3 linked regions of the Tamandua tetradactyla genome follow. The main gene of each other region encodes a partner of the protein of the gene in region 3 in a complex. Links are inferred from orthologs where the notes say so. Each region holds a gene or a part of one and is shown on either strand. Other genes may lie near its edges. The genes, in order: SUDS3, SAP25 and SIN3A.

Region 1 (7,815 bases), on a different chromosome or scaffold from region 3:
GGTCAAATTTTTAAAAAATATATTCAACCAATACTTATTGAATATATTTCATTCTGTTATCCATCTGCGTTTTTAATAAAAAGTCAGTAAATTTTAAGCATAAGGAAGCTATTTTTTTTCAAGTTCTTTAAAACATAATAGAATTTTAGTCTATCTGGGCACGTTCAGTTGGGGCTCTGTCTGAAGGTGATGAAAAGGTTTGGGTGGACGTGTGTTCAAGTGGAAAGAGCATCGGAGGAGTCAGGAGTCCCTAGTTTCCAGTCCCAGTTACCTGAGCTCTCAAAGCATCCAGAACCTTGCCTAACAGGTAGTCAGTGCTCAGTGAGTTCATGACCATCTTAGAACCTGGCTGCTGGATGACGCGAGTTTCCAAACACTGGTTTTCACATCTTAAATAAAAGAGGAAGTAGTAAAAGGTACTCTCCTGTATTATGGGATTACTTCCCTGTGATCATTTGCCTCTAGGTTCTTTCTAGTCTACCCATCATGGATTTTTGATATAGGAAGAAAAAAAGAACAAGTTTCATCTAAATACAGACTGATTAAATACAACCAATTTAAAAGAAGAAAATGCACACATACACACAGTCTTTGGAAGCATTATAGTCAAAACCACACATACAAGGCCACTATATTTTTCCTGCTAATTCTGTATTCCAGAAAAATAATATAAAAACAATCATGAAAGAGCTTGTGTTACTCACTGTTCCTTCATTTCTACATAGTCATCTTCATCATGCTTTGCGAGGTCAGTCTCACTAGCATCCTCTGTGTCTGAGTAAAATTAGGGAGGAAAAGTCAGTTAAAATCATATTCATATACTCGGCATCGCGTCACAGCAAACGCATGCAATAAACTTCTGTAAAATGAATTTCTTCTCAAAACTGGCCAGTGTGACACCATCAGTGGAAAACATTAAGTACAGTTATTTCAGAAAAGAAAATGGCATTGCCAAATTATACACAGCCAGATTAATGCAAAGAGCTTGCCCTTATTTCAAGTGCAACCAGAAAACAGGGGTATCAGACTAGGCACTCATGGTCAAGGCTGTGACTTCTGCAGAAACAAAAAAGCTGGCAGTTCAGGAAAAGGAGACATGGGTGGAAGTCTGGAAAGTACAGGTAGTCAAGCCCTGCTCACTACTCTAAATTGAACCCTTAGCAAATTTCATATCAGATAGGAGATGAAACAGGAGAAAAAGAAACAAGAAATACAACTCTAATAACAAATATTTTCAAAGTTACAACTAATGGAGAAGAGGAGGGAGGCAAGATGATCAAACAGAAACTGTTTCAAAACACTTTATACACTATCCTTAAATAAGCAAAGCGCTGGAGTGTCTACACAATTTCAAGAACCCTACTGCAGGAAGTAAATCTATTTTGGCTTCACAGCACCCCCTCGTGGGCATTAAAAACAATGTAAGTGATTCATATTCAAAGGGTTGAAAGATGAGTTTTAACCCAGCAGGCCCCAATTAAATCCAGTGTGGCATGTCCTCAAAGTAGCATTTCTTGCGAGAATTTTAAAGTAGATCATCTCCAAAGATTCAAAGTTATCAATGCAATTAGTTGGCTCAACTTTGTCTGCATATATAGTTGCCTTCTGAGAAATGCTGTTGCAGACCCAATTTTCCACAAACCCTTCTCCCCTCCTTCAGCTAACAGAGCTTCACTGAGTTCCTGTATGTGCCAGCCAATCAAGTGCTCATTATTTCGAGGACTGAAATGAATAAGACAGGCTCCTTATTCCAGACAGCCAATAAAATGAACTGGAATACTCCACTCATATATTGGTTCCTCTCTATCTCCTCTTTCTTCTCCCGTGTCCTATGCTTCTTAACCTTTCTCTCCCTCTAGCCAGCTCCTTCCTCAATTCCTCTAAAACAGTACTCCTCACACTTACCAAAATGTAAAGCCCAGCCTGAAACGCAATGCTCTGAGAAGCAGTAAGACATAATATAAAGGGAATGGAAATGAAAACACACCTGGGCACCATTAAGCAAATCTCTACCTCTTCCTGTGCCTGTTTCTTCAGTGGTGAAAAAGACACTTACTGAATACCGGAAATTGGGCCAAGTACTTCATACACATTTTTTCATTTAATTCTCTCAACTACCCTAAGAAAAAGGTACTACCTTTCCACCCCATAAAGTTGGGGAAATGAGGCTCAGAAGCTTAAGGAAGTTTTCTAAGATGACAAAGTTGGGTTAAGTTACAGACACAAATTTAAACCTAGATCTGGCTGATTCCACTAAGCCTTCTTTAAACCACTCTGCATTCCAAATCTTGTACTGTGCTGTCCAAAGTGGGACTGACTTAATCATATTCTGGTGGGGTCGGGGGTGAGGGCAAACAGAGCTTTGCTCTGACTTTCTCCAGAACTAAAAGGACAGGGATTCACAGCACTCAAAGGATGGTTTTCCTATTCCATCCAACGAAGACCAGAGGCTCAATCCGGACGGTTGGGTTGTGGGGGAGGGAGCAGAATCTTAAAGGGACCTCCAGCTCTATGAATATCTCCTTAAGTCCCTTCTCCCCATAACAGTAGGGTACAACGTACACAGCCAGGGCTTCCCTCCTTCCCCAGAGGGACTAGTGATAACTTCCCAGGACCCCGCTTCTCCCAGATGCCCCTCCAACGGGCCCCACGCTCTAGAAGTCGCCCCGCCCCGTCCCACTCCCAGCCAGTCCAACCCCTTCCCCAGCAGCTCCACCCCGGCCCAGGGCTGCCAGCGGTCAAAAAGACGCACCTTCATCCGAGTCACGACCCCGGAAACTGCGTTCGTCGTCCTCCGCACTCTCCAGCTCTTCATCCTCCTCTGGACAGTACTCAGGCGCCGGCGGCGCTCCAGCCGGGGCCGGGGCCGGAACCAACAGCCCCGCGGCACTCATATCACCTCCGACCGCAGCAGAGCGTGCCACCGGGAGATCGAGGCCACCCACGCTGGGGACTTGACTTCCTCCTGGCAGAGCCCGACGGAGCCGCCACCCCGAAGAGCGGGAGCCCCGGCGACCCCTTCCTTGTTTCCGCCGAGCTCCGCCCCACGCGCCCGCACTGGGCAACGGGGTCCTCGCGCCGGCGGCGACTTCCGGGTCGCGAGCTGCCCGAGGACCGCCTGATTCCTCCATCCTTGAGGGAGAGGAAAGGCCGCCAGGTTCCGCGACGTTCCGTTCGCCTAAACCTCAGTCCCTTCATTGCCGTCTAAAAATAGTCGACGGAATGGTGGAAAGGGGCGGAGACATGAGCTCTAGCGTTAGGCAAATCTACGGGCAGGTCTAGCTGAGGCCAGGACCCCGAAGCTTAGGGGCGACACCGGAAACAGCCGCCAGGCGGCGCCTGGAGCCAAAAGTAGAGCGAGAAGTTAGCGACCTGAGAGCGGCGGGTATGAGGGGTTTGAGGCAGGTGAGGTGGTCTTTTCTTTAATTTAAGCAGGTGAACCGTATGAACGATATGAACCGTCCCCTTTATAAGTTGAGAAAATGTAGCTATCCAGAGTTTGAGTGAACATCCAGAAAAGAAAAAGAGCCCTGACTCCTCCCCTAATTGGAGTTTATTAAAAACTAAAAGATAAATTTTCTGTTGCTCGGTCCTGGGATCAGCAAAACGGTATTTTTCTCAGTCCGTCCGAGTCTGTTGGTATAAGTTTGCTGAATAAAATGTTATCCCGATTTTACAGATGAGAAAAGAGATGTCACTTGCCTAAAAAAAAAGTAGTAGCATCCAGCTACTTCCAGATCCAAGCCTTCCTTCAACAGTAAATCTGTCTCATAATTCCTCGAGTATTAATTTTTAAAAGATTATTTTTCCCAGTTCAGTAATTTGGTAACCAACTCTCATCTGAGCAAGTGGAGTTCCTTGCATACAGACCCAAATACCTAGATAAATTAATTTGTGATTTCTACTCAGTAAAAGGGGGCACAGTGTTTTAAGTTTTGGTTAAGGTACAAGTTTTGGGTATACATGTTGTCAAGAGCAGTGCGGTTTAATTGTGGCAGCACGATAAGGAAAAGGGCCAGAAATGTTCAATGGTTTGTCCAAAGTAATATAAATATTCCCACTCTATTTTGCATCCGTGTCTTCATAGAAAAAGTAATTAAAAAATAGTAAAGTTGAACACAGATGTACGAGCCAGAGTGGAATCTACGATTCTGATTCTTAGATCCCTTGTAATCAGATTTATCTCTGAATGGACTCAAAGTCTCTTAAAATTACAAAACTTTATTCTCATAAAGAAAAAAAATCTTTATTTCCTACCTTGTTTTGAAATCTTGGCTCTATTTTTAAGGGATTTTTTCCTCCCAACGAAACTCATGTATTTACAGAATGGAATGCTGTGATGTCTTTCCAAGAGGTTTTTTGGTCTCAGGGATCTTCTGAAGTTCTTTTTAAATAAGAGTTATTCTCAGAATGCACTGTAGGTCTACCATCTATATTTAAACTAGGATTTCAGATTCCTGTCTGTTGTACAAAGGCTGAAGCTATTTTCTTTGCTTTGTTAGATTACATCCAAATTATTTGTAGTTATCTATTGAACTTGAGTCCCTATTAGTACCAATAATTATAAACCAAAAAAAGCACCAACAACATTTTAGAAATTAGAGTCCATTGATATAATGCATTAAAAAAAAACTGATTTTATCACTAATTGTTCTCCTTTCTAGACACTTGAGTTTTTGTCTTGCTTATATTTTATTTCTATTTCCATCTAACTGATTGCAGATAACATCCGCTGATGTCATGCATTTCTTTCATTTAATGAATAGATACAACTGAACACTTGAGTGGTGAAAACTTATCCTCTTGTCTTCTGTCCATATTTCCTAATGCAGAATTGTTAGAATAAGCTTTTAAGTAAAAGATGCCTTTTATTGAAAGGGGACCTAGAGAACAACAAAAAAATTCACTTGTGGCTTTGATCTTACTCACTCTTTATAGTTACTTAATACAAAGGTTATGGACAATTTCTCTAGGTGTGTAAAAAGCAATTTCCCTCAAAACTAAGTTCTACCACCTTGAAATCTCTTCCCAAAATAGTGCTCAGCCACTCTGCTCCTATTACTTCCAACTTAAATGTAGTCCTGCAAACCCCAATTCCAGAATGTTTGTGCCTTCAAACCTCTGCATACTCTAACTCCCAAACTTAAACTTTAAAGAGGAGCACTGTAATTGGAGTGGGGTATGATTTTAAAACAGTAAGGAAAAAGTATGTATACGGTTTAGAACACCTACTTAAATTGTATAGCAGGAGTTTAAAAAAAACTTAGAGTTCTGAGGGCTAAGGCCTGTATACATTTGACAACACTTATGATTAAAATGTGTTTCTGAAATGAAATAATTTCTTCATAAAATGCCAAACTGCCAAAGTCCTTAAGTTTATTTTGGGGGTTAGGAATAAACATAACAGTTTTCTAGTATTGATTTCCTCAGCATACCCAGTTTCACAAAAATACAAGGAGTAACTCTGAGTAACATGTACTTTCACCCCTGGAAGACATTACCTTTCAGCTTCAATCAAGATAGGTCTTTGCTTATCCCAGATTGCACTTGGGGTCAAAGCTTGTTAAAATTTGGTGATTAGTTTACACGGAACAAAACGGAATGGCTCTGTGAATGTTGAATAGGCTTGCTTGAAGCTAACGGTTTCCCCAGGAGTTCCTGTTTTTTCAGTCATAATGATGATACCAGAAGTTCAAAATCCAGCAACTGAGTATCTCTATAAAGTTTTGTTCTTATACCTATCAAAATGAGCCCCGCCAGGGTTGAATGCTGTTTTGCAAAGCATGTATCTAGTATAAATATAGGGATTTTCCCCAGCAATATTAAATTGATGTTAGCTGAACACAATGCCAAGAAGAGCATTGTTAGAGATGTACAAAGGACTTAAATTCAGGAAATGGACAAGTCCTGGGAGAATTTAAATCCAGGAAATTTACAAGTCCTGTGCAAGGTCTTGGAGAATGGGGACCTCCCCAAAGGCTCTTATATCCTTCCAGGGTCCCAGAGTGCCTTGGCCTCTAGGCGTTTCCCAGAAAAGGTTAAGGCGCAGGGAGAAGTGCCATGAACTTTGACCCACGGGTTGGCGCAAACAGGGATGACCGCACCCCTGGAGGGCCCGTGGATAACTGAAGTTGCAAGGTCTTCCGCGTCTGAGGAAACCTCGCCCAGCCCCACCCGCATAGTGAATTCCGCCAATCCTAAGGCGCCATCGACCGCTCGGTTTCCTAGGCATCTCCAATCAAGTACCTATAAACGGCCTCAGCCCTGTGCCCCTCGATCAGGGAAGGTCAGTAGAGAGCCTATCGGAGCCGGGTGGGGGCGTGGTCTAGGGGTGGGGGCGGTCGGTCGGTGAGGGTGGGGCGGAGCGCGCTCGGCGCAGTCGGGTGCGATTGGCCACCCCTGGCAGGAGCCGCACCTCGGACAGCAGCAGCGGCGGTCGCGGGAGGGTCCGTGGGGTGCCCGGAGGCGGCGGGGTCCCGCGTTCGAGAGTGGGACGCAACGCAGGGACCGCGGGCGGAGGTTCTGGGCGGCTGGACTCGGCACTCAGCAGCGGACTCGGGAGTCTTCCAGGGGACAACCCGTAGAAGAGCGACTCGGGAACAAGTGTGAGAGAGGAAGCGGCGGCGGCGACGCCGGGCCCGGGGGCGGTGACAGCAGGTCTGAGGTGAGAGCACCGGGCGCGGGGCGGTGACAGCGTGAGCCGAGGCGAGGGGACCCTGCGCGGAGTGAGGTCGGCGACGACCGGGCGAGGGGAGGTTCGGGAGCGGATTTGACAGTTCGGACTGAAGAGAGGAGACCCCGAGAGGGGCCGGGACAGAGGAACTGAAAAGAGGGGAGCCCGAGTGGCGCCAGGTCAGAGGGTTGCGGGAAGGGGACCCCGAGAGGGGCCAGGACAGAGGGTCCGCGGGGAGAAGACCCCGAGTGGGGCCAGGACGGAGGGTCTGCGGGGAGGGGACCCCGAAAAAGGGAGACAGAGGGTCTAAAGAGAAGGGATCCCGAGAGTGTCCGAGGGGAGGGGACCTCGCGAGTGCGAGTTGAGGCAAGGAACCCTGAGAGGGACGCTGGTTCCAGGTCGGCGGGATCCCGCGCTCTGCCAGCCTTGCGTCTGAGTCGCGAGGGAGCCTGAGAAGGATCGCGCCCACGGAGTTGTTCAAACCACCCCCAAGCCCACCGCTGCGGTTGGGGTCCTGGGTCCGGGTCGCTGTGACTGCGAGTTGGGGCCGACAGCTGGGGCAGAGTCGTGGAGACGGTGATGCTCCCAGGGTCTGAAATCCACGGGACGGGACCTTTCTGAGCGTCGTGTGCGCGACTGGGATAGCTTGAGTCGGGGTGACTCTGGAATAGGGATTATGTAATGAAACATCTCCTAAGTAGAACGCACCGGCCGGAGGGTCTGGTAGAAACACCAACATCTTGCAAAGGTCAAGACAGAGGCACCCCTGACCTTTTCTCACTAATCTCCCTTGGTGTGGATGGATGCCTGGAAAGTGAGGGGCTACCTGACCTTGATAGCTTAATCTGAATGTGAAAAGTTGGAGGGAGCTTCTGTAACCTACCACAAAAAGTTGAAGGGGAAAGGGATCCTTTTGGAAACCCATGTTTTGGATTAATTCTAATATTTCTTTTGAGAGAGGCAGATATTTTCCTGACCTGTTTTTTTTTTTTTTTTTTTTCATTTTAGCTGAATAAGAAGCTAAGAAATTTGTTCTGATTTGGCAGCACCTCAGTATCAATGTTTAAGATGCAAGTTTAAAGAAACAGTAAACTATAAATAGGGAATTTTGATTGCTTAACTTTGATGTGTGGAAGATAGTT
Region 2 (5,713 bases), on a different chromosome or scaffold from region 3:
CCTCTGCAGGGACCTGCTGCCTCTGCCCATGCTCCCAGGGGTCCCCTCACCCCATACTTGTAGGGCTTTCTTTGTCTCCTCTGAGCCAAAGAGCTTGGCTCACCGAGCCCACCCACACCCAGTATAAAAGGGGTGGCAGCACCAAGTGTCTTACCACTGTGCCTGCCCCCGAATGCTATGCCACCCCCTTACTTCCTGGTTTGCCTCTCCCAGGGCTGGTCACACGGTCATACAATCCTCCCTTGTCCCTGGCCTGGCAGAGGCAATGAAGTCCTGACTCCCAGACTCTTTGCCTGGGAGATCCACCATGATTAAACGTGCCCTGCTTGGTTGGCCTGGGAGGGACCTAAGTTCACGGATTCACTGCCTCACTGCAGAATTTGAGGGGTGGATGGAGAGACACACTCTACACACACCTCCGTGCCTCTGGCCACCAGCCACAGGGAGTCTTTTGCAAATCAACGCTGCTTTATTGTCAACAGAGTTTGCCTGGGGTGGTGGGTAGTGGGTGTGGGGGCCCACTCAGCCCCTGGGGGCCTAGGGAGAATGGGTCTCCGTGGTCAGAGGGAGGGATGGGTCAGGACAGTGAGAACTGCTCCGACCACCACTGGGACCTGTGTGGCAAGAGACAGGGCCTGAGGAGCCAGCAAGGTGCGTGGGGGCCAGCGGGGAGCTGGCTCTCGGCTTCCCCTGGCTCATCTCCAGAAGGCCAGTGAGGGCAATCAGCTCAGGCCCACTGAGCCACGTGGTGGAGCAACTTGGGGATGGGGTGGGGAGGACCCAGGGGGACATGACAGGGCGTGGGGGCAGCAGCTGCAGGGAGCCCATCACCTGAGGAAAGAGAAGGAGTCAGTGTCTCCTCCCAGGCTCTGTCTGAAAACTGGGGTAAGGCCAGGGCAGGAAGAGCTCTCACCTGCTGGGGGGCCTCGGTCAGGTACAAGGGGATACGGTGCCCACGGGGTAGCAGAGGGTCTGAGAAAAAAACGTCTTCACAGCCCATCACCAGGAACCCTGGGGAGCAGACACTAGCTAGGGCAGCACTGGAGTCCACACTGGGGGGCCCACCCAGTGAGTTCTGCCCTCTGGAGAGCCAGAGTAAGCATGTTCATCCGCTGGGGCAACCAGGGACCTACCTGTGTCCCTGGGCACGTGCTCTCCCTTCTGATGCCCAGTGGGGGCCAGGGGCCTGAGGCCCCTGCCGGAGGCTGCCTCGAACAGCGGCCAGAAGGATGGATGACACAAGGTCCGGCTGGAGAAGGAGGCACCTGACCCACAGCTGGCCCCCTGCAGAGTGCGGAGGGAGCAGGAAAGACCCCTGGAATCTGGCGCCTTCCCAAGGCATGGCTACCTCTCCCTCCACCCATAAGACCAGGCCACAGGTGTCCCCAACTCACCCACACCGGCTGAGGTCCTACTTCAGCCTTGTAGTTGGGGTCCCACGGTGCTAGCAGGGTCATCCTTGAGGGGGCCACCTGGGGAGAAAGGGGAACTGTGGGGGGGAGGAGAGGGACTTTAAGAGATTAATAGGCTCAGGAGTCAGTGAAGGTCTTGAAGGATATTAAAGGTACCAGGGCCTTGTACCTACCGGGGCTTCCTGGGGACCCCTCAGCAGCCGGGCCTGGGGAGCTGCCAGGCTTCACCTGCTCCCTCAAGCTCCAAGAGGGACTTAGGGACTGGGAAGGTCCAGTTACACGATCCCGCATCGGCCTTCCCGCCTCCAGGTGTGGATATTTCCGTGAGCTCAGAAGCAGGACCAAGGGGTGCCTGGTGCAGGGAGACCCATCAGACCGCCGGCAACCCCACCCCCCACCAACCCTTTCCTTGGTATGGACGATTGAAGCTTTGTTAACCTAATGCAAAGCGCGGGGCTAAGACATCGAGAGCCCCCCAGTCGGATGGGCCCCCAATTGGATGTCCACCCGCATGCTCCCCTGCTGAGACCCTCACCTGTCCTGTGGGGGTGAGCCTGTCTCTCCCGGATCTTCCTCCCCATAGTTCCAGGCATCACCCTGGTCACTGCCCGTTGAGGGGTCTCGTCCCTCCGGTGTCGCCTCCTCTCTTGAGCCCCAGCGCGGAAGGGCCCAGGGCAACATGCCGCGCCTGGGGGAGGGCAGGGCAGCACTTCCGTGCCCCCGCTGGCCTTGTCCCTCCCTAGCCCCCAGGTCTCCTCTGCGCCCCGGTTGGTCGCTGTCCAGCCCTCCCTGCAAGCCCGCGGGGGCCGCCACCTCCGGAGAGCCTCGCACCACGCCGGCGCACGGTGCATTTCCGGGCCACGTGGCCTGCACTCCCGCTGGGACTCAGGCGGCCGCGGGCGCCCCCTAGCGACGGGGGTGCGCGGGGTCCCAGCCGCCCGGCTCCGCCCTGTAGGAGACTCGTGACCGCCAAGGGCAGGAAAATGGCGGCGCGAGGAGAAAGCAACGGCAGAAGCTCGTCGTGAAGGCAACAGCGGCTCTGACACGCACACATCCAAGGGCCAACAAGGCCTTCTGGCTTCTTTATTGCGCTGGACACAACAACGGGCGCCCTGCCTTTCGTCCCAGACCCTCAGCCCCTCCCGACGGGGCCAAGCCACCTTCCTCCACGCAGGCAGGCTGTGAGGGGCAGGAGCTGCCTCCGACCCTTAGGGGTTAAGGAGGGGTGCCCGGGGAACAGGGCCGGCCCGAGGCTGCCCTCACCAGCGTCCATGTTAGCAGGAACAGGGCCCGGGCGGTCGTCCATCTCTTCTTGTTCCTGGGGTCCGGGCGGGCCACCTCAGAGCCCTGCACCCCTACCTCAACCCCTAAGGCCGTTCGAGCAGCGCATGGACGACAGCAGCGATGTAGGGGAGGCCCCTTCCGGGGGCCCCCTCCTCTTCCAGGATGTGATGTGGCTGGCACAGGGCCTCCTGGGGGGAGGGGCCCAGGTAAGTTACTCCTTGTCACTTTCCCAACTCAGCTTCCCTGCCCTTGGCAGAGGAAGGGCATCCAAGAACAAAGTCCCTAAAGAAGCCTGGGCAGAGGGGCAGAGAGGCTGGCCCTCCAAGGGGTAGGGGGGCAAAGGCTAGAGGCATCCTGGACACACACTGTGGGCCCACAGCTCGTGGACAAATGAGATACAAGGAAGCTGCCGGCAGCTAAGAGAGGAGTGATGACACAGGGGCCACTGCTCAGGGGAGAGGCCTGTCATTTCCAGAGGGAAATGCTGGGGCAGGGCAGCACCTGAGGGCACACCAGGAGTGGCCTGGCCACAGCAGGAGCAGACACATACACACACACACACACATACACAGAGGCAGCCACAGTCTGTACAGTTTATACACAGAGGCAGGGGCCCAAGCTGGGCCCTGCATCTCCTACAAATATAGAGTTCTCTCTACAAAATATAGATAATTTAGCCCCCCAGTAGCCAGGAGGGGTTGGGAGGGAGGGAGGGAACAACATGGAAAGGGAAGATTCAAGCTCCTGCCCAATCTGGGGGAACAGAGGAGGGCAGGGGCAGAAGGCTCCAAGGCACCGTCAGCAGTGATGGGGGGGGGGGGCACAGTGAGGGGCTACAGGAGGGTGGCCAGAGGCTGGGGACCCAGGGTCTGGGGGCACCAGAGTGGGGCCTCTGAGGTCACTATCTGGAGGAAGGGGTAAGCTAGTGTCTTTGGTAGGGGCCGAAGGCACCACTGGTGAGGTGAGGGGCAACTGAGTGGGACTTTTATAAATAGAACCAGGGCCAGGGCCAGAGGAGGAGTGACTTGGGGCCCTAGAGACCTAAGAGCCGAGTGTAGACGACACAGAGCAGCAGCATGAGGGCCACGTAGAAGAGGACGAAGCCGCCCAGACCAGAGGGGGGCCAGAGGGGTGGGGGGGCACTGCCCTCTACCCACTGCACAGCCTCCAGTGTGGTTCGCAGCCCTTGGGCAGTGCCCTGGAGGAGATCCGAGGGCGAGCACAGGTCAGCCTGGGAAGGGAGAGTAGGACAAATGGACAAGGACAGATGACAAGACATCAGCAGCAGCAACAAGGCAACCCCCACCCCTCCCCTCACATGCCTGGACCAGAACCTCCAGCATGCGAACGTGCAGGGAAGGGAGCATGCAGGGTGGGCGGGAGGGTGTGCTTCCTGCGGGGGAGGAGACACCCCTGCGAGCAGAACCCCACCACCCACACCGACTGCTCAGCTGAGCCCTGGTCTAGCCACTGTTTACAACAGAGACCAGCTCCTGGCTCCTGAACCACATCCCTCACCCCAACTTCCATACCTCAGGTACCCCCATTTTTCGACAGGCTTCTAAGAAGCTCTCCACATTCTTCCGAGACTTGAGGACACTGAGTTTTGGCTGGAGGGGAAGGAGATAAGAGGATCAGGGAGATGCCACAAAAGTCTCCTGCCCCATGCCCTATTTCCTCCCTTAGCCCAACTGACCACAGCAGGTGAGGGCACATGGATGAAGGGCACAGACCGGGGCCGGAGCTGGTTGACCAGCTGGCACAGAATGACCCCACTTGCCAGAGCTTCTGCCAGGTCCTCAGGCAGGGGCCGCTGCAGCCGGGACTCAAGGACCTGGGGGTAAGGGGAACTTGGGGTTAGCTCAGAGGTCTGCCCTACCTTGCCAGCCTCAGGGGAAGTACTGGGATGGGGGAGGGCAAGCGGGTATCAAGGGAGGCCTGAGTTCCAAGGACAGGGAACTCAAGGAGGAGCCATGCAGATCCTTCTTCTTACCTGGCGCAGTTGGGCCATTAATTCCTTCTCATCCAGAACCTGGGGGGACTGCCGAGGTCTCGGGACAGAGTCTGGTGAGGAAGGGCCTAGGCAAAGAAAGAGGGCATGTGGGCTGTCTCCATACTCCAGTGTCAACTTTGTAGTTGGGTCCTGCTGGTCTGGCACCTATCTCTACGTCTCTGCTCGTGGGGTTTTCAACACAAAAGGACAATAAACCCAGAGACCTCTGAGGCCAGAAGCAGTGACAAAAGCCTGGTGAGCCTCTGTTGACCCACCTGAGCTGGTCTGAGAGGAAGAACGGAAGAGGAAGCTGTTTGGTCGCTGAATGGAGCCAAGTGGCCGGGGTACAGGTGGTGTTGCTAGAGCCAGGTAACAGGGAAAGTGAGAGAGACATCCCTCAGTGTCCCACTTTCCCTCAAGCCACCAGGTCCCAACCAATCCCTCAACTACACGGGGCCCCACCTCTTTCCAAAGTCTCTGTCCCACCTGGTCCTGCTAGAGGAAGGGGCTCCTGGGTGGTGGGGGCAGAGACAGGGGCTCCCTGCCCCCCTGCAGGTCCAGGTTGGGTGGCACTAGACTTAAGTGCACCACTGAGGAGAGAGACAGAAAGGGAATTATGTGGGATGGTCAAGAGGAGGGTGAGCAGGGAACAGACTGGGAGGAGACATACTTCTTTGTGGCCTGAGTAGACAGGGCAGGAGCACCTCCCCCAGGGGTCCTGATCCCCAGCTTCAGAAAACTAGAAAGAGAAGAAGGGATGTGGAATTATCAGGACCAGGGGAACATCAACCCTGAGGGGCAGAGCAGGCAGGAGCCACCCAGAGTGGCTCTAAGAGGGGGTGTGCCCAGCTCCAGAAGCATTCACTTCCAGGGCAACAGTCCCAGCCCTGACCCTGTGCCCATACCTATCCTTGTGCCCATAGCTGTCCTTCCTGAGGACCCCCCACACTCCACTCTGCTGCTGCTGCTGCTGCTGCCGCCGCTCCCGTTCCTGCCACAACTGCAGGGTATCTGGACGACGACG
Region 3 (7,666 bases):
GAACACCAACATTTAGGGTACTGGCCAGGTTGGATTGTCACAGGCTGCTGAGAGAGGGGGGGTGGCATCTTCCCAAACAACATTTGGGAAGATAGGCTCATAAGTGGTCTTCTTGAGGCAGAACTGTCAGAGGGAGGAGACATGAATGGGAGGTAAAGAAGTAGAGACTGAAGTTCTCAGGCTGTCCCCACTTCCACCAACACAAGACCCACCTCTTAATCCTCTAAATAAGATTTCATTTAAAGAAAGAAAACTGCTTAAAAAAAAAAAATCACCAAACAATGATATGCAAAAGGAAGCGCATTGAAAACAAAATGCTAGGTAAACTGGGGGAGCATATAGTTATGGTATCTACATCAGATTAGAACTGGATGGATCTCAGAAGGGTAAACCAACACTTCATTAAGAGGAAGACACTTGAAGGCAGTGAGTGGCGGCCTTGAAACCCACGAAAAAATACATGCCTCCAAGTCTACCCAGGAGTCAGAAATACAGATATGTACAACCTAAGCCAGCTGGTTGCCTGAGAAATGGAGTTTCTTCATATTACAGGGCTGTTGGTCCTTTAGGTCTATGGCTAGGCTCACCACTCAGACTACAACTCCAGGGATTTTTGCATTTGAATGGCCAAGAGAAGTGGGGGTGGGGATGGGATAAAACAGGACAAGATTTGAAAACTCTTGACTGAATGTTAGGCATTGAATTTCACAACACCCCACTGAAGTAGGTAAATTCTAATTCTTAGTTTACAGATAAGAAAATGGAAAAGAGAGTTCAGTGTTAGAATTCTTGCCTACCTTGTGGGAGACCCGGGTTCGAGTCCTAGTCCATGCCCTTCCCAAAACAAGCAAAACTTCAACAAAATGGTGCTGGGATGTTCACATGGAAAAAGAATAAAATGTGTCTCCACCATACACCATACCAAAAAAAATAATCGGAATCTAACGTTCAGTATCTGTAAATGTTCTTAGTTTACAGATAAGAAATGGAAAAGATAAAAGATTTATTAAATCTTCCAGCTAGGAAGTGGCTGAACTGGGATTCTGACCAAGTTCAGACCAAGTATGCTTTTCCTTTGCACCTATAATATGCTTTGGGTTGGGGGTAGGAAACTAGGGGCCTCAGGTGCCCCTTGAATATCTCATTCTAGTAGGTGGTAGTAGCTTTCTAGAGCTGTCAGAAATTCTGTCAGAAGGATACTGACATCGTTTTGACTGTAGTCTAAGGAGCATGGTAGAGTCACTGAAGTGCAGGCCCTATATGTCAATCACCACCTCCCATTAACGGTCTTTGTATGTGCATGTGAAATCGAGATTGTCAGAAGGTGTGATAGTTTTGGGTATATGTGTTGTATGTGCTTTCTTGATGATAATGAACTTTTGGAAAGAACCAGAAATCATTTATCTAGGGACAAGCTGTATTAAGAGTTAGGGAGATGAGGAAGGTGGGGGCATGAGAGGAGAGTTTTGCTCCAGACGTCCCAACCTGGATCATCATGGGCCCCAGCATGCACAGAGACAGCATATGGGGCAATAGAAAAAGCTTAAGCTTTGGGTCCGGACAGACTTTCCTTGGCTATATGGCTACCTGGGCAAGTCAGTCTATTGTACTGAGCCTCAGCTCGCTTATCTGTAAAGTAAGTATGAGAAACCTTAACTCACAAACACCTGTGGAATGTTTCACACAGAAGAGGCCTGGGAATCATAACCTGGCCTCCCAATGTGACTTCTCCAAGGAGGACTGTCACACAGACCCATTCACTGTTTTGTCCTCACTGGTAGGGAAAGGTAGCTGTAACCCTCAAGTGCTGCTGGAGGGACAGTGTCGCCATATAAAATATTCACATTCCCAAACAGGCTGGAACTGGCTGTGCTGTGCAGGCTTCAATGTATTGAATAGATCGCAGGATCTGTTCCAAGGGACCTTCTGTGCCTGACTGCAGTGGGCACTAAAGGGCCGAGGTGAGTGAGGCGGAGAGATTGTCACTGAGGAGCTCATTCTGGGGGCAATGTTCAGGGGTGGTGGTGTACTTACGAGGGCGAGGAGTGTCAGGGAAGCCTGAGTCACTTGAGTGAGGTTAACTTCTAGTTACAAATGCTTCCTTTGTAACTTCATCCACAACAGACCACTTGCTGCCCAAGTTCACAGTAAAATTCTTGGGCCACTGGCCTCTACAGGAGCTCAGAAATTCACTTGTTGCATTAAAGTGCATTTGATCATCGTTTTTGATCCTTATATCAGTCCTGAGAACAGCTGGGTAACGATTGTTATTTTATCTTGCACAGGAAAAGAAGGGGATTCATAGAGAATAAGGTGTTTGCAAGCAAGGGCTCACTGCCATGCCCAGTTTTGGCCTGACCATGGTTTCAAAGGGACTAGGTGGAGACCAGGGGACTAGACGTCTAGGCTAGTGTTCTTTCTGCTCTATCACTCTGCCTACTCACATTGATACAGGTATCTGTTATGCCTTCAGGGAGGGCAGAGCCCCTCAAGAAACAGTAGGAATCTGAGAAGGGGGTTCCTGACTTCTGGGGATCTCAGTTCTGATATAGAGGACTACCATCCCCCCCCATTATACAAGGAAGAAATTGAGACCCAAGGGAAGAGGGGACTTGCCCAAGGATATGCCACAAATTACTGACCATGCTAGTTCTATAGTAATCTGGAACTCAGATTACCCAAATGCCAGCCTCAAGCTTTTCTACAACTTCACACAGCAGGTCACTTCCCTCCACTACCTACACTGAATCAAGTCACTGAAGACATCCCTTTAATCTTTTCCAAACACATCTCTCTCTCTCTCTCATTTTTATTCTTCTCTCTTCCTACTCTCCTTGCCCTTAGCTCATGTTCTTGCATCTCACCATTACTATGGGGACAGCTTAACAGGTGGTAGGCTTGCATTTTGCCTACAGGCCTCCAAGCCCACTTCATCTACACGAATTTCTTTTCCCCTCTGTCTATAGGTGGTTAGGGCTGCCTCAATCAACAAGTCTTTCTTGCTCATTTATTGTGTGTCCCAGTCCCTGGCTCAATTTTGTCAGGTACAGATGTGTGGGTTGGCCCCTGAGTCCCAGGAACACTTTTTGGTTGGGAGTTACGACAAATAGCAAATGATGCAGGGAAGACTGTGAGTCAGGGTTTTTACTTGACGGCTGCTGAAGATAGGGGAGGCTTCCTGCATTGGGTGGATGGGGGAGAGAAAGGGTAGAGTGGGGGAGAGAAGCCTTCTCTTGGTCCCCTACTCTACCCTTCCCACCACAAGATGCACCTCTGTATTCTGGAAGCCCAGTTTTACAGTAGCCTGGTGCCTGGACTTGCTGGCTTTAGGCACACGTCACTCAGCCTAACCTCAGAACCCATGCAGCTGCCAGGATGTTGAACATCTTAGACCAGAGTTTTGGGCCTGTGGTCCTCTGATCCTGCTCAGAAACATTCAGCTATGCAAGTCCAAGAATGTTAACCATGTATTAAAAGCCTTTTTCTGTTTAGTCTCCTCTTTCCAATCCTACTTTACATCACTACGCCACCCATACACTTCATGTATGGGGGGTGGGGGTGGAAATGAGACTACAAAAACAACCTCTAAGAGCCCTTTCCTCACTCAGAGCCTCAGGTGTGTGTATGGGAAGTTTGCCACTAAAGACACAGGGCAGGTAGAAAGAAGTGCTCATTTGGGAAGGGAGGTGGGTCACCCCAGGTAGAATCTGGAGACTGGAATGTGGGTTGGAGCTGAATCAATGGGATAATTGAGGGGATGGAGAAGGGGAAAAGCCAAGATATGAAGATTGGGTGTTCAGTGCAAAGCCTAGGACCTGGCAATATTATGGAAATCAAGCTTCACTCTCAGACCCTTTGTACCCTTTGCTGAAAATGACACACGCTCTCTGCCCTCCATTTCTGTCTGATAAATTTTCAAGATCTAATTTGAATGCCGCCTCCTTCATGAGGCCTTTCCCAATTTTCCTTCAGCTAGAACAAATCTCCCTTCTCTTAGGTCCTATATATTTCTTTGTATATATTCTTGCCTTGCCTACCTCTTTCTGTATCATCTCTTCGGCTGGATCGGGAGCCCTCAGAGGGCAAGGATCATCTCATCCAGTCTCTCAAAGCGCACTCAGCAACGGGTGCGGTATGACTGTGCCTGCTTCATCTACGTAGTTGCTCGCTCAGACAAGTGCCTGTCGTCCTGGACGCAGGGCTTCCTACCTGTATCACTAATCTTCAGGCACCTAAGAGAGCGGAGTAGCGGCGGCTAGTTCCAGCGAGGTGCTAGGGCGACCTTACCAGCCTCTCTGCCTGCTCCGAACGGGGTGTGTTTTGTGAAGATAGTGGCAGTAGGGTAGCCAGTTACTTCCTCCGAGTACACCCTGCGCAGATCCCCGAGTCTTAGGAGGCCTCCCTTTGGTCCGAGGGCCTCCAGTAGCTCGAGACGGCAGTACTGAAGAGATAGGGGCCTCTGCAACGGATACGCCTCCCACTCGCAGCTACTTTATTTATTTTATTTTTTTGGAGGGAGGAGGCGTGCAATGAGGGGGGAAAGGCGGGGCGAGATGAGGAGGAGGGACCAGGATGACTGACGTGAGGCCCGGGGAGCCAATGGCCCGTGGGGGGCGTTCCCCCATTCAGGACTCCTCGCCTGGTTCGGAAGGTATGTTTAACAGCTGCTTTTAATTTGGTCCCCCCAATTTCTGGTGTTTGGGGGGCTGGTTCGCCGGTCTTTTGCTTTGGCTGGGCCGCCTCAGTGCGGGCGCCGCGGGCAGGGGTCCGAACTGAAGGGGAAGGCTCGGAGTCCGGCGGCCGAGGGAGACAAGCGGCAGGCCAGGAAGGAGAGCTCTTGGCGCCGCCTGCTAGCCAGTGTGTGTGTTTCCAAGCCGGGCCGGAGCCGTGGGGAGGGGGTCGGCCGGGCCCGGGCTCGCCCGGGCGCCAGCCGCGCTGCCTAGTTTATTTCATCGAGCAGCCGGTTTGGGTAGGTTTTGGCGGCGGACTGGGTAGGGGAGGGCAGGGAGAGATCTCCCGCTACTGAAATTCGTTTTTAAGAACAAAATTATTGTAAAGAAGAGAAAAGGAGACGATTCAATACACCAACTGGAACCCGGCCCGGGTTGCGGCGTGCGGGATTGCAGGGGGCGGCGGCCGGAGACCCGCCGGTCAGGCCCACCCAACCCGCAGCGCCCGGAGTTGGCCGAGGGCTGGAGTTAGCGAGCGAGCAGGGGCTGGCGGCTCTTCCCGCTGACCACGCTGGGCGAGCGCGGCAGCCTCCCCAAGGGTTTTGTTTCTGCCTGCGAACTTCTCCGAGGGGGCGGTGAGCGCGGTCCCGAGAGGCGCGGGCGCAGTGGGCCCACGGTTGTTAGGGACTCTGGGGGCGGGGGTAATGCCGGATTTGCGGGAGGGGCGGCTGGAGGCGGAAGAGGCCCCGGAAAGCTTCCTGCGTCTCGGCACTGGCTCCGCGCGCGCTTCGGAGCGTCTCGAACTCCTGTGCCGCGGCAGTAGAGCCACCGTTCGTCGCTGTAACTCGCCAAGATCGAAGCCCCATGGACCTCGGCCTGGGGGTGTGGAAACCTGCAGGAACTCGGCGGCTTCAACCCGCGGCCCCAGCTGATCCCTTTGCAAACATGGAGCTGCCTCCTTCCCCGCCCACCCCGCGGTGGCGGCGGCGGCAGCGGCAGCAGCTCCCTTCCTCTTCCACGGCAGTGCCGCTGCCAGGATCCCCCTTTCCGCGAGGTGCCTCTGCTGGCCGCTTGGACTCAGATGGGGCGGGGGCGCGGACGTGTGCGCGCGCCCACGAGGGGGTGGCCTGAAAGGGGCAGTGAAGGTCGGAAACAGTGAAAACAGTCTCCACGCTAGGAATCGGGAAAAGGAAATGCATCAGAGGGCGGGGAGGGGCGCGGGGGGCGCGCCTGTCAGCTGGAATGGAGGCCGCTGTCGGGGAGGCGGGGCGCCGGCATGAACCGCGGGGTTCCAACGGAGCGTGGAGGCTAGAGGCGTGGAGGGCCGGACCCGCGGAATGTCGGGGCTGCCAGTGCCTCCACTCTTTGGCCCATCCTATTTACTCTCTACTCTGGTGGTGGGTTGTGCAACCCGCATAGAGGGGAGCTGAGAGGTGGGGCGGTCCCCCAGCTTCCACCCACCTCCGGCTCCTCCAGAGGCTCCGCCTCCTCTTGTCTTCCACTGGTTGGGGCGAGAATCCCTTTTCTCCTTTTCGGTTTTCGATTGGATGACATTCTCCGAGCTCCGCCTATCGGGAGGCCGGGCTGGAGTTTAAGTTGCTAGGATTTTTTTCCGTAAAGAGCGGAGGGAGGATTTGGGCGGCTGGCGTAATGCGTAAGGTCCCGCCCCCATTTCTGATTGGTGGAGCAAATAGCCCCACCTCCTCCGGCGGAGCGGGATCGAAGGGGGAAGTCAACCCCTGTTCCCCGCCCCCTCCCTTCGCTGGTGTGCGCGCTCAGCACATGTGTGAGGCCCGCCTTGCTCCTTCGAATTGCCCTCCCGCCCGGAAGTCCCTCGGCGCCCTTGGCGAGGGAGGGCAGGGAGCGGAGAAGGCGCACAAAGATTCCTCCAAGACTCGCGATCGGATAGCCTTCGGGGTAAAGGATTTGAAGGATTTAGCTCCGGAAGTTCTGCAGGGGTTGAGAGGAGGGGGTGAAATCTGCTCTTGTTGGCCGGGGGCTAGTTTTAAAGTTCTGACCTTACAGCCTGGCTACTTCTGTGCACTAGCGGCCACTTGACTTTCCAGAGAGTCCCCTGATTTTAAGCTTGAGAACGCTGGGACACTGGCAGTGTCTTTGCTTACCAAGGCAACGCAGGGTTGGCTGGGAGCCTTAGGTATGATCCAGGCAGCACGCCCTATGTGGGCAGGGGAAGCCGAGGGAGGCCCAAGGCTGGTTCACCTTTGTAGTGGTTGTCGATGCAACTGGGAGCACAGCGGGGCACCCATTCCGGGGAGGGGGTTCGGGGGGTCGGGAATCGGCCCCAGAGTTATAGGCAGTATTCGGTCCGAGAGGTTTTGCCCGGGTTCGCTTTCGTCTGTTTGACTTATTTTTAGAGCTCCGTCCCGGGCAGGTCTTGGCTTCCAGCAAGGACGCTCCCACCTGTCGGCTACTCATGGAGTTCGAAGTTCGTTGCCATGGCCTCGCGGCTCCAAGCCATCCTTGGAGTCAGGCCCACTAATTGGCAGCGCAAGTTCCTGGCCGTCTCCACTATATTGCAGAGAGGACTTAGGAGCGGGTTTACCCGGCTGCCTATGGGAAGTAACATTTTTTACTGGAGTGAGCGGGAACTCTAATCCCGCCCCCTCTCCCGGCGCTGCGAGAGCGCCCCCCAAACCACGGTCAGCGTCAGTTCTCGGCCCTGTTTGGTGATTAAATAAAAGCAACCAAGGTATTGCAAGCACTTTGTCTCCCTGTGTGTTCGGGGCACAGAAAGGACCTAGGACACTGCAGTTAATACTCTTTACCCAAAGAAGAGAACCATAGTTTTTATTACCCGCAACTCTAGGATATTTATCCTCTCTCTTAAGAGTATACATATACTCAAAACTCATTTTTGCCATGGTCTGTTTTGCTCCTTTCCTCTCCGCCAGTTCCTCGACCCTGAGGATTTCTCCAGATCGACTTCGGAGATCGTGAGTGCTTTAGGCCTCATGCTCCGCCTTCAGGAGGCTTGC

What was found.
Region 1: the proteins of SIN3A (region 3) and SUDS3 are in contact, whole or in part, in an NMR structure (PDB 2N2H), measured with the Mus musculus proteins. The link is inferred for Tamandua tetradactyla from reciprocal best matches to the Homo sapiens genes SIN3A and SUDS3. Residues at the interface, in NP_001103821.1 of Mus musculus: Glu616, Glu619, Leu620, Val623, Arg672, Ile673, Tyr674, Ala675, Lys677, Asp680, Ile681, Ile691, Ala692, Ile695, Val696, Arg699, Met702, Lys703, Glu706, Trp707, Glu709, Ala710, Phe714; in NP_848737.3 of Mus musculus: Ala205, Leu207, Asn208, Tyr209, Leu210, Leu211, Gln215, Ile216, Glu218, Asp219, Leu220, Thr222, Leu223, Leu226.
Region 2: the proteins of SIN3A (region 3) and SAP25 are in contact, whole or in part, in an NMR structure (PDB 2RMS), measured with the Mus musculus proteins. The link is inferred for Tamandua tetradactyla from reciprocal best matches to the Homo sapiens genes SIN3A and SAP25. Residues at the interface, in NP_001103821.1 of Mus musculus: Leu121, Lys122, Val123, Ala126, Leu127, Leu130, Tyr144, Phe147, Leu148, Met151, Lys152, Phe154, Lys155, Thr161, Val164, Phe182, Phe185, Leu186, Pro187; in NP_001075431.2 of Mus musculus: Ala208, Glu209, Ile211, Ala212, Leu213, Ala214, Gly215, Leu216, Leu217, Gln218, Met219, Ser220, Glu223.

What each region holds. Positions count from the first base shown.
Region 1 is NC_135331.1:18,679,612-18,687,426, reverse strand, and holds the start of SUDS3 (sin3 histone deacetylase corepressor complex component SDS3), read right to left. Parts: upstream 3,082-7,815; 5' UTR 2,895-3,081; coding exon 2,753-2,894; intron 775-2,752; coding exon 705-774; intron 1-704.
Region 2 is NC_135349.1:8,677,825-8,683,537, forward strand, and holds SAP25 (histone deacetylase complex subunit SAP25), read right to left. Parts: upstream 1,458-5,713; coding exon 1,395-1,457; intron 1,285-1,394; coding exon 1,134-1,284; intron 1,012-1,133; coding exon 914-1,011; intron 832-913; coding exon 538-831; downstream 1-537. Other genes in the region: LRCH4 (leucine-rich repeat and calponin homology domain-containing protein 4), read right to left, coding at 1,606-1,764, 2,676-2,884, 3,738-3,927, 4,229-4,306, 4,393-4,530, 4,690-4,775, 4,965-5,048, 5,152-5,279 and 2 more. UniProt on the Homo sapiens protein: Involved in the transcriptional repression mediated by the mSIN3A but not the N-CoR corepressor complex.
Region 3 is NC_135338.1:66,487,901-66,495,566, forward strand, and holds the start of SIN3A (paired amphipathic helix protein Sin3a), read left to right. Parts: upstream 1-4,580; 5' UTR 4,581-4,651; intron 4,652-5,716; exon of another isoform or gene 5,717-6,320; coding exon of another isoform or gene 6,321-6,587; intron 6,588-7,045; coding exon of another isoform or gene 7,046-7,285; exon of another isoform or gene 7,286-7,389; intron 7,390-7,666. Other genes in the region: uncharacterized protein LOC143652277, read left to right, coding at 6,321-6,587, 7,046-7,285. UniProt on the Homo sapiens protein: Acts as a transcriptional repressor. Corepressor for REST. Interacts with MXI1 to repress MYC responsive genes and antagonize MYC oncogenic activities. Also interacts with MXD1-MAX heterodimers to repress transcription by tethering SIN3A to DNA.